Linked DNA regions of Canis lupus familiaris. The protein of the gene in region 2 interacts with the protein of the main gene of each other region in a pairwise test. Links are inferred from orthologs where the notes say so. Each region holds a gene or a part of one and is shown on either strand. Other genes may lie near its edges. The genes, in order: PQBP1, LZTS2 and TRIM29.

Region 1 (3,745 bases), on a different chromosome or scaffold from region 2:
TTTAGAGTTTGGTAATGACCGTTTTCACGGCACAGCATTTCCACAGAGGAGCTCCAGCTGGGTGGTGCAGGGAGAGGGACAGAGAGCCGTGTTTGCAGTTCACCCCAAACCACAGATCCTGGAGTCAGGCCTGGCACATAGTAGGCTAGCCGCACCGTAATGAGCGAGTTATGGCAGCTCCACGCAGTGTTCATCGCAGTATCCCATGTGGGCATGGCAGGACCCCCACACTACCCAGGGAAGGCCACGACTCACGACAGGGGCATTGCGGAAGCCCTTGATGGCCTGGAAGACTCCACCGCCGATGACACCCATAGTGAAGGCTCCACCGCAATCGTCCACAATTCGCCATGGGCTGCAAGCCAAAAGGGGAGGGTGGGTTAAGTGAGCCCCTCTTCCCCCGCCATGGTGCACGGATTCTTTCCAATTGGGAGAGACCAAGTCACCCGAATGGGAAGCAGCACTTCAAATAATGAGATTATTTCTCCCCTCGTCTGAGCAAGAAATGGTGCAAAAGGGGAAAAGCATTAGTCTTTGCTCGCCCGCCCCTCCTTCGAGGCCAAGCAAGGAATTCGCCAACTGCTTTACCACTATCAAAGACTAAATGAACTGATGAGACACGCAGAGTCAGCACCTTTAAGTCAGCGCTGTGAAAGTGTTAATTTGCTAGTACTGTTATTAAAGCAGGACGGGGTCGCACCTCCGTCCCCGACGATGAGCACGTCCAACCAAATCCCGTCTTCCCTCTCTTTTAACCGATCACAACTGGGAAAAACCAAGCGCAGGCCGTGGGGAGGATCCAGTCCGTCCGCCACAGGTTCACCCAGCCCCGCCCCCATCCACTAAAGCGACCTGGGAAAAGCCACGCGTGGTAACCCTGGGGATTTCCGCTCGACCCCGCACCACCCCCCAAGCTGGAATGGATTCGACCAGCGTGTCTCTTTTCCTCAACAAAGAGGGACGGGGGAGGGGATACGGAGTCTGAGGAAACGTTGAGTGGTTGGTCCCTGCACCGCACCTTCTCCGGGCTCACAGCTGCGGCCTCTCTTAACGGAGCCCGAGTGAGAGGAACGAAGCGGAGGGGAGCGGAAGGAGACCACAAACGTCTAAGAGTCTCCCGAGTCTGGGACGTGGCGCGGTGTGGCCAGCGCCTCCCCCGCCCGCCTCCCACAGCTGGCGGTGGCGCCGCAGCAACAGTCCCGAGGCCTGTGCCCATCGCCGTACCAAGGCTCCCGAGCGTACTCCTCCATGGCGCCGGCGTCTGGCCGCGCAGTCCGGCTAAAGCCCGGCCAGGCCACGCCCCCACTGTAAACGCACACAGGCGCCGAGCTGTCCACCTATTCCAGGCCACCGATTGGGTCGTGTTGCTGCTCATCAGGGCAGGGACACGCTCTCATTGGCCACCGAGTTTGCGTCATCTCCACTGCAGCCTGTGCGTCGCCCAGATACCTCAAGCGTCGGGGAGAGAGGACCTCTTTTGGTGTTTTGGGAGAAGGCCGTCGTGTGGTTCTCGTGATCCTAGCGGGGACGAGAGAGAGGTGGCCGACCTGTCAGCTTTCCACTGCTCGCGTGATTGCATTGGTAATGTCAGGGTGGGCGCATTTTTTGCAGCCGGAAGAGGTGCTTCATTTTGCTCCCCCGTCCCAGCGCTTTGGTTCCTCCCACCCAGCAGTCTTTGGGGGACGTTGGGTGAGCTCATTCCGGGAGCGCGGGGGAACTGAGCTTGGCCCCTTCGGCGGTGGGCGGAGCCTGGGCCTGGGCGAGGAACAGGGTCTTGGAACACCCAGCCTCGAGGGGAGGGTTGGTGAGAGTTTGGGTGTCATCGCCACTTATATTCCATCTTTTAGCCTGTAGGTTCCGTCTACCCAGCCATTGGTGCAGGTGGGTAAGTGAGGGATATATGCCGGGAGGAGGCGCTCGGTTTTAGGTCGGGATTTGAATCCTCACTTGAGCTGGGTTGTTTTTTGTGAGCGTGTCTGTTCATCCGTCTGTCCCTAGGTCTGCCTGTTATCCGCTATGCCGCTGCCTGTTGCATTGCAGACCCGCTTGGCCAAGAGAGGCATCCTCAAACATCTGGAGCCCGGTGAGTGAGCTAAAAGCGGTTGGGCCTACAATGTGCCTGGCTTGACAGGCACTTCGTTGTTGATACCGCCACTCGATACCTAGCGTGGGCCTACCGCGCATCAGTCAGTGGCGTGGCGTGTATTGTTAACGGTGTGGATTTCTGATATCCATTCCTACCGCGGGCTGGGGTGGGGGTGGGGAATACATGTTTCATCCTTAATATTGACAGTTAATGCCTTTTTGGGGTCTGTTGTATGCCACGCGCAATCCATCAGACGATCCGTGGAAGTTATTATAAAGTAGCTGACAGTAAGGAGAGCTGACATTTTCCCTAGACGGTAGGGGGGATGCGGATACTGGGTTCTTTACGCTACTGATCACATTATTTTAGACGTGTTGTGAGGCCAGGCACTATGTTGGTGATCTATACCTTATTGATCACCATATCAATTGCTGACATGTATTTTGGGTCTAGGTGCTTGGCATACACATAGTGGTAGAAAATGATGGTAGGATCTATCATTTCTACCTGCTGTGCTGTTCCTGCTAATATTTACACCTTATTATCGATCATGGTAAAAACTGGCATCTGTTTTGGGCTGCAGTGTGCTAGGCACTGGATTACATCTTATTTTCACCTTATTAATAAATGACATCTGTTACAAGCTACTCTGTGCCAGGCATATAGATCTTGTGGTTAATAATACTGGTAACAGTCGTTGCTAATTTTAAGCCTGTTGAGTACCAGGCCCTGTGCTGATGGTATATATCTCTTACTAACAATTCTGATGATTATAGCTAATACTCACTTTGGGCCTATTGTGTGACAGGCACTATGCTGTTGCTGACATATACATTTCATTGTCAGTTATGTCCACAGCCAAAATCTGTCATAGGTCTACTGAGGGTCATGTACCGAGCTGACAACATACATCTCTTTTATTCTACTGATAGTAACTGACAGCTGTTGTAGGCCTGCTGTATGTCAGGCCTCGGAACTGAATGGATGCGGAGCAGTGTTTGGATATATCCTTTCCCATCCAGACTTGCTACTCAATATACAGAATCAGAAACCCCATATTTACCAAGCTTGGGAGCTGAATAGATTTGGGCATTTTGTTTTTCAGATAAACCGCTTACTGTTCAAACTCATTTTATCCAAATAGATTGGGATAGCGTGGTGTCACATGCTTCCTGAACTCAGGAACTGGAGGATACATTTGTTTTGATGAATCCTTGTCTAAAATCTGAAACCAGATAGGTTTCGGTAACAGGATATCAAATCTCAAATCTTATCTGAACCCAGAAACAGAACAGATTTAGGTAAGTTTTTTGGCAAATCCCCTGATCTTCAGACACTTGGATTTGGAATGTGATATTTGCCATAGAAGGTGAGACCTGGCACACGCACACACATGGTCCATGTGAGTCTGAGCGTGTCTCCAGGCTCTGACTGCAGGATAAGAATTCCTCTGGTCCTTACTGCTTTCCTCCACCCTGCTATCCTGCCAGAACCAGAGGAAGAGATTATTGCTGAGGACTACGATGATGACCCTGTGGACTATGAGGCCACCCGGTTGGAGGGCCTGCCACCAAGCTGGTACAAAGTGTTTGACCCATCCTGGTGAGCCTGGGGAACTGGGGCGGGGGGCGGAGAGTCTGACATCTGACTTGACCTTTC
Region 2 (3,645 bases):
TGTACAAGAAATTTACAGTGTGGAAAAATATACAAGTGAAAATGAGGCCATAAACCTGGGTGTGGGGAGGGGCCACTTGGTCACAAACACAAATAAACAAGACAATTTTGAGTTCTTCCTTTGGTCTGACTACAGCCCCCTCACTCCAGGAGAGAGGCTGCAGAGCTGGAGCCTGGGGATCAGACCCCAGTCCCAGCCCTGTCCCCCGACACGGGCAGGGTGGGGGCAGGCACATCTGAAGCAGCTGGCGCAGTCTGGGTCTCTCTGGCTTTGGGGTAGGGAAGAGTGTGGAAATGAGGGAGATGAGGGAGCCCCCTCCTCTTCCCAGCCCCCTGGCATCCGGGGAGTAATGCTGTTGGCAGACTGGCAATGGCAGTAGAAGTGGGGGTGAAATGGGTCAAGTGAGTAGGAGCCTCAGCGTGACAGTGAAACGGGGACCTTCAAGGAGTTTGATCTCGCCCATCCGGGTCACAGGGCAGCTCCAAGTTCTTGGCAGAGGCCCAGAGGCCTGGAACCCAGGGGACAAGCAGCTCTGGGGCTCTCAGACTTTGGGGACCTCAGCAGACCTGAGGCTCCTGCCCCCACTCCCCTGCAGTAGACCTCCCTCAGATCTGGGAGGCCAAGGGCCCTAGATTTCCGTGGCGGTGATCTCCTCCAGGCAGATGCAGGGGGAAGGCTCGGCCAGGCCCAGGTCAGCAAGCTCCCGGGCCTCCAGCTCCAGGCTGAGCTGCTGTAGCTCCTGCTCCAGCTGCCGGTTGCGCCGGTACATCTGGATGTAGTTGTGCTGCAGCTGCTTCTGGTAGCGGATCACCTGCTCCTTCTCCGCCTGCCAGGCCAGCCGCTCCCCCTCGAAGCTGTCCCGCTGCTCCTCACCCCGCCGCCGCTCTCGCTGCAGCTCTGCCCGCAGCCGCTCCACCTGGGCCCGCAGGCTGCCCCCGACCCCAGCGGCAGCCCGCTGCACCTTGGCCTCATCGCTCTCTGCCAGGAGGAAGGGATCAGCGGTGGCAGGGGGCACGTGAGGTTCCCGGAGCCCGGCCGCCTCGGTGTCCAGCTGGCCGGCTTTCTCTCGGAGCCGCTCGGCCTCCTGGCGGTGCCGCTGCAGCTCCTGGGAACAGGCCTCCAGCTCCAGCTCCCGAGCCCGGGCCGCCTCCTGCAGGCCCCGAGCCCGGCCCTCGCTGACCCGTAGTGCAGCTCGGGCCTCTCGCAGTGCCACCCGCAGGGCCACCAGCTCGCTGCCCTTCTGCACCAGCTCTGCCTGGGATTCCTTCAGCTGCTGCTTCAGCAGGGAGATCTCACCTGACTTCTGGCACACCTAGGGATGGGAGGGGATCAGGAAGGATGGTGAGAAGGGTTCTCCTAGAGGGTCAGGCCCTGAGACCACAAAGGGTATTTGGGGAAAGGCTGTTTGATCATGATACCCATGACGTGGATGGAGACACTGAGACAAGCCTAGTGACATGCCCAAGGTTATATGGCTGATAAGTGGCTGAAGCAAAATACAGACCCAAAGCAGGTGATTTTAAACCATCACAGAGTACTGCAGAGCCCTGGGGACAGGCCAGTGGCAGGTTTTGCAGGACTGGGAGCAATTGAGGGCAGTGCCCACATTTCCCCTGAGACACACCACAGCGTTTTGGTTAAAAGTGCAGACATTGCAGCCACACAGCCTGGGTTCAAATCTCAGCTCTGCCACCGACTAGCTATAATGGTGGGCTCTAGCCTTTCTGGGCCCGGTTCCTCATCTCAAGAAATGGGGCTGTGAACAACAGCCACCACATAGGGCTGTTCTGAGGATCAAAGATCCACTCTAAGTAACAGCTAAAAAGTGCCCGGTGCCTAGCAGGCTCAACATTCTGACTTATTGGTCGGGGGGGTGGAGGGGTTGGCAGTGGATGGGAATGCCACCGGCTCCATGAACACTTGACTCGACCAGTGAGGAAACCTCAAATGGTGGCACAAGGAGATCCTTGCCCAGAAAGGAAGGTCTGAGGGGGACCTTCATCTCACCAAGGTGGATGAGGATGAGGAGGGCCTCTGGGAGTAGCAGGCTGAGGGTAGAGGAAGGCTGGACCCCTGTGCCCGGGGCTTATCCCAATTAGGCCCTGCTCCCTGCCCCTCCTGGCCTGGCCCACCTCCCACTTGGTCTCCTCGAGCCGAGGCCCAAGCTCCCGCTGCTCCCGCTCAAAGGTGGCACAGCGCCGCTCCAGCTGCTCCCGCTCCTGCAGCAGCTGCGCGAAGTCGTCCTGCAGCTGCCGCTTCTCCTGCTGCAGCTGGAACACCTGCAGCTGGAGCAGCTGTTGGGCCCGCTGTGCCCGCTGCGCCTGGGTGAAGCCGTCGTCCCGCAGTGCCTCACGCTCCCGAGGCCAGGGCCGCTGCCGCTCCTCGTACGCCTGGGGACAGAAGGTGGACCTGGGTGCCTCGAGCGAGGCTCTCCCCTCCCCGCCGCCCATGGCTCCCTGGTCACCGACTGCTCTGGTGGCCTGTGGCTGGGTTCGGGGACGGGAGACTCCATTCAACCCTGAGGCTAATTACAGTAGGTCTAGTCACAACCACTGCTAGGATCCTAGAAACAACTTTAAGAGCAAGCACTTCTGTAGGAATTCCTAGGTGCCAGGCGTCATTCTAAGCACTTCAAAGCTTTTACCTTACTTAATCCTAAGAACCCTAGGAGGCCAGAAATCTCCCCATCTACAGCTGAGCAAAGCGAGGCTCGGTACTGTGAGGTGTCTTGCTCGAGTCTGAAAGATGGTACACGGTGGTGCTGGCTCAGACCCCTCACCGCCCTGCAGGTGAAGCCAGACAGCCGGGTCTGGGCCTGCCCACCTGCCCCCCCGCACCCCACAGCACACAGGGAGATGCTCCTTGGGCTCCCAGCTCCGGTGGATGTCCTGCCACGCCACCCCCGTCATCGCTGCTGACCACACCTGGCACACCGTCACCTCACTCTCGTCCAGACTGTCCCGCAGCTGCTGCAGCTCTGCCTCACGGTCGTGGAGCTTTCCTTCCAGGACACAGTGCAGCAGGGCCTCATCCGAAGGGGGGGGAGGGGGCGGAGGAGGGGGTGGGGAGCGCTCCCCACAGGAGCTGCTGTCAGGGGAGGCCCGGGCACCACTGCCCAAGAGCCCCCCAGCCATACGGCCTCCCAGGGAGCCTGTGCTCTTGCTGGAGGAAGATCGGCCACTGTCCGAGTGGGAGGGCCCAGTAGGGGCCCCTCGGGCTGGCCCGGGCAGTGCCCCCCGCCCAGGGCCATGGGAGGGCAGGTGCCCGCCTGGGGAGTGGGTGGCTGGCTCTGCACCCCCGGTGCTGTAGGTGGGCAGGCTGGACAGTGAGTTTCGGCCGGAGTCAGACAGTGTCCCCGACGGGCAGCCGCTGGCCCAGCCACTCAGTGCCAGGGGTTTGTCAGCAGCCGAGGAGGAGGAGGAAGAAGAGGACGAGGCAGGGCCCCCAAACAGCTGTGTTAGGCTGCCCTGGCTCCCAGACAGTCCGGCGGCCCGAGGACCCAGGAAGCTAGGTAGGGATGGTGCCCCTCGAGGTTTGGGTAGCACTGGCTTGAAGGCTGTTGGGCGGATCAGGATTTTCTCCATGTTCTGAAATGAGGTGCCATGTGACACTGGGGATGAGCTGCCCAATCTTTCAAAGCCCTTA
Region 3 (3,745 bases), on a different chromosome or scaffold from region 2:
CTGCCTTTGGCTCAGGTAGTGATCCCGGGGCCCTGGGATTGAGTCCCACATCGGGCTCCCTGCAGGGAGCCTGCTTCTCCCTCTGCCTGTGTCTCTGCCTCTGTCTCTGTCTCTCATGAATAAATAAATAAAATCTTAAAAAAAAAATACAGATATGCAAGAGTGTATATTGCTTGTGGTAGAAGTGAGCACCTGAAGCCACTGCCTTCTTGGCACCAATTTGCCCCCTCCTCATCCCTGACATTTCCAAGAATCCAGGGACTCCATGGCGGAGTTTGAAGACCACCAATCTAGTCCCACACCATAGGGAACCAGGACCGAGAGAACGGAAGGGCCTTGTCCGTGGTCCGACAGCTACCTAGAGGTAAAAACCAATGCTGGAACTCGGTTGGGTGGGAGACCCAGAACACCAGCCTGAGGCTCTGCACTGTTTTGGTTGCACCCAGTGAAGATGATTGCCCCTTGGTTCTGTTTTGGTTTCCCCAGTAAGCTCCGGAAGGATGGGTTCCACGGCCCTGCCCTGTCACTGTGTCCCAGCCTAAGGCTAGAAGCCGGGCTGGGGTTGGGGGTCATCCAGGAAGTGGGAACACCTTCCTGGGCTAAACAAGACTCCCAAAAAGGATCTTTGGGTCTTATCCCACTTGTAACCCATCTCCTTCTGCCCAGAGTGTGGGTGAGGGGCACCATAAGAGAGTAATCAGCCAACTCTCCATCAGGAAGACTGGGCGCAGAGGGGTCCTGGGCTGCCCTATTCAGATGGGTTGAGAAGCTGTTGAGGAAGGCCAAGTGTCCCACAGTGAGCACCAGGAGGTTCGCCCCGGCAGAGGGGTGGGGGTGCCCATGACTGCCAGCTGCGTGGCTGTCGTGGGACATTGGGCCCAGCATCTGTGCAGCAAGGGGCAGCAACCACAGCTGAGCCTTTGGCCCAGAACACCTTCTCCGTGTGCAACACTTTCACAAGTCTCCACACGCCTCTGCTCCTCCCCACGGAGGTACAAGGCAGGATCACACAGGCAGTACTCATGCAAACACACTTGCATATCGCGCGTACAAATGTATGCGCCAAACACCCACATGTATATGAAGCACATACACGTATATGGACAGCCCACCCACCCACAGACAGCAACCCTCCCCAAGTGTGTCCACATACAGGCACAGATGTACACACATGTGACCACACACAGCCCAATGAAAGAAAGGGACGAAGGAGGCCATTGGGGAAGTCAAGGGACTGGCCAGGGGATCAAGTAAGCAACAAGCAGCCACTGTACTGCAAATGCAGACTGTAAAGCCAGGAAAAAAAAAAAAAAAGAGCATTTAAGTGGCCCCCAAATTCCCTCCTCCTCATGCATGATCCCTGCCCCAGCAGGCAGTCCGGCTCAGGTGGTAAGAATTCAGTCTCCCTAGAATTAAAAAGAAGAAGGAGGAGGAGGAGGAGAAACCCTCCAGCCAGACACAGAGCTCAGCACTGAGCCCAGATGGATTCTCGGCTCAGACCTGAATATTTCCTAGGACCCTGGTCAAGCGCCCAGGCATCTCCAGGCCTCCGTTTGCTCATCTAGGCAATGCCCCTGTGTCCTGAGGCCTTAGAGGATTAGGGAACCGCCTCTGACCAGCCCCCCCTCCCCACTCCAGCCTGCGGGTGCAGAGGGGCGAGAAGTGTCTTCTGAAAGAGCCCAGGACAGTGGAGACGCGAGGCCCGCCCCCTCGGGAGCCCCCAGTGGAGAAGATGCCCCCTCGAATTACCTCCTTCTCGGCCTTGGCCTCTTCCACCGTCACCGTGCTGTGATTCTTGTGCTCCTGGAACATGCAGAGGTAGCAGATGCAGGTCTGGTCCGTCTGGCAGAAGAGCTCCATGGTCTTGCCGTGCAGGGGGCACTTGCGGGCCTCGAAGTCTCGGATGGGCTCGAGCAGCTGGTGGTCGCGGAAGGCGGCGCCCTCCAGGTGGGGCTTGAGGTGCAGCTCGCAGAAGGAGGCCTGGCACACCAGGCAGGACTTGACGGCCTTCTGCTTGGTGCCGATGCACGAGTCACACAGCACCTCCTCGGAGCCCGACTTGGGGCGCAGGAGGAGGCCGCCGTCGGCCCGGGGGTAGCTGTTCCTCCGGGCCTCCCCGGGCTCCACTATGGACACGGCGGCCTTTCGGGGCTCCGAGAAGATGGACTTGCGCAGCTCCCCCTTCTCGGCGAAGGAGACGGGCGGCTTCCTGGCGGCCCCCAGCTGGAGCCCGGCGTACGGGGACCTCTTGCCGTCCCCCGAGTCCATGCTGAAGTAGCTGGAGGCCTTGTCGTCCACGGACTCGACGAACTGGATGATGGGGCGCCGCCACTCGTTCCCCGAGAACAGGGAGCTCTTGCCCTCCCCTGGCTTCGGGGCGCCGCCCGGGCTCTTGCCCTCGGCCGCCTCCCCGCAGTGCCCGTTGCTGGTCTTGGCATCTTGGCCTTCGGCCTTGGCCCCGTTCTCCAGGGGCCCGTTGGGGCCCGGCGGGCTGCGCGCATCCCTGGCTTCCCGGCTGGCCCCGTTGCTTCTGGAGGCATCTGCGGCTTCCATGGCCCGTCACTCGGCTGGCGCGCTGGGGACTTGCTGGGGCTGCAGGAGGGTGACCTCTCGGGCTGGCGTCTCCGCGGGGAGTGGGTCAGGTCGCCAGAGCCCGGAGACACACCTATAGGGAACAGGGAGGAGGAGGAGGAGGAGGAGGCCAAGGAGGAGGAGGCGGAGGAGGGGGTGGAGGAGGGGGTGGAGGAGGAGGAGAGGAGGGGAGGGCAGGCCCAAGCCTGACACAACGGGCCGGCCGGGGAGGGCAGGCGGCTCCCAGAGCCAGCAGCGCGGCTAATTATACGGGAGGGCCACGCCCTACGCATTCATACCCAACCTGATTTCTAAAGGACCTGGGTTTTTTTTTTTTCCCCTCTCCTGGTTTAATTATTTTCCACAGCTCAGCAACCAGTCGGCCTGCTTCCTCCTGGCGCACTTTCCTCTCCTGAGGAAGTAGGGGAGCCTCTGTCCTCATGGGTGGGCAGGCTTCGCTGAGCCAAAGGGCCCCTGGGGCAAAAGGTGAGGTGTCTGCAGAGGCCCACGGGACAGAAGGCTATTAATTGGGTCACACAAGCCGAATAGCCTTATAATTTGCAGGCCCGGATTTCAGAGGAGAGATTTCCAACCCTGGGACAAGTGGGGTTCCCTTACAGAGAAAGGTGGGTTCGGTTTGATTTCGGTTGCAGGACGTGCAGTGAAATCGCTACTGATTACTGAACCCCACTTGCCGACTTCCAGGCATTGTCCTACACACGTCACCTACAGGGGGCTCATTTCATCCCCACCACAACCTGTTCGGTTATCCTATTTAACAAATGAGAAAACCGAAGCTCTAACAAGCTGCCTCACTGGCTTCAGTCAAGTAGTAGATTCTGAGATTTGAACCCGAGACCTCTGAGCTGCCAAAGTTCCTTCTTAGGCTTGGATATCACAGAGCCACCCGAATATCTCCGTGGAAGATGCCTTCTAGAAGTCGTGCCTGTCCCAGCAGTCCTAGCGAGATGGCATGTGGCCCTTGGGCCTTTTTTTTTTTAATTGGAGCTTCTTTTTCATATTTTTTTAATAGTTATTTTTTCACCAAGTTTTTTATTTTAATTAAAATTAAATTAAAAGTTAACATACAGTTATATTAGTTTCAGGTGTAGAATTTAGGGATTCAGTGCTTCCATACAACCCCTGGTGCTCATCACAAGTGCCCTCCTTACTC

What was found.
Region 1: the proteins of LZTS2 (region 2) and PQBP1 interact in binary tests that used the Homo sapiens proteins (3 or more experiments, as listed by UniProt). The two-hybrid records come from large-scale screens. The link is inferred for Canis lupus familiaris from reciprocal best matches to the Homo sapiens genes LZTS2 and PQBP1.
Region 3: the proteins of LZTS2 (region 2) and TRIM29 interact in binary tests that used the Homo sapiens proteins (3 or more experiments, as listed by UniProt). The two-hybrid records come from large-scale screens. The link is inferred for Canis lupus familiaris from reciprocal best matches to the Homo sapiens genes LZTS2 and TRIM29.

What each region holds. Positions count from the first base shown.
Region 1 is NC_049260.1:42,260,169-42,263,913, forward strand, and holds the start of PQBP1 (polyglutamine-binding protein 1), read left to right. Parts: upstream 1-1,421; 5' UTR 1,422-1,581; intron 1,582-1,847; 5' UTR 1,848-1,881; exon of another isoform or gene 1,882-1,885; intron 1,886-1,998; 5' UTR 1,999-2,016; coding exon 2,017-2,083; intron 2,084-3,576; coding exon 3,577-3,688; intron 3,689-3,745. Other genes in the region: TIMM17B (mitochondrial import inner membrane translocase subunit Tim17-B), read right to left, coding at 256-355, 1,225-1,250. UniProt on the Homo sapiens protein: Intrinsically disordered protein that acts as a scaffold, and which is involved in different processes, such as pre-mRNA splicing, transcription regulation, innate immunity and neuron development.
Region 2 is NC_049249.1:13,876,556-13,880,200, reverse strand, and holds part of LZTS2 (leucine zipper putative tumor suppressor 2), read right to left. Parts: intron 3,588-3,645; coding exon 2,925-3,587; intron 2,391-2,924; coding exon 2,133-2,390; intron 1,313-2,132; coding exon 629-1,312; 3' UTR 1-628. UniProt on the Homo sapiens protein: Negative regulator of katanin-mediated microtubule severing and release from the centrosome. Required for central spindle formation and the completion of cytokinesis.
Region 3 is NC_049226.1:13,878,917-13,882,661, reverse strand, and holds the start of TRIM29 (tripartite motif-containing protein 29), read right to left. Parts: upstream 2,705-3,745; 5' UTR 2,554-2,704; coding exon 1,750-2,553; intron 1-1,749.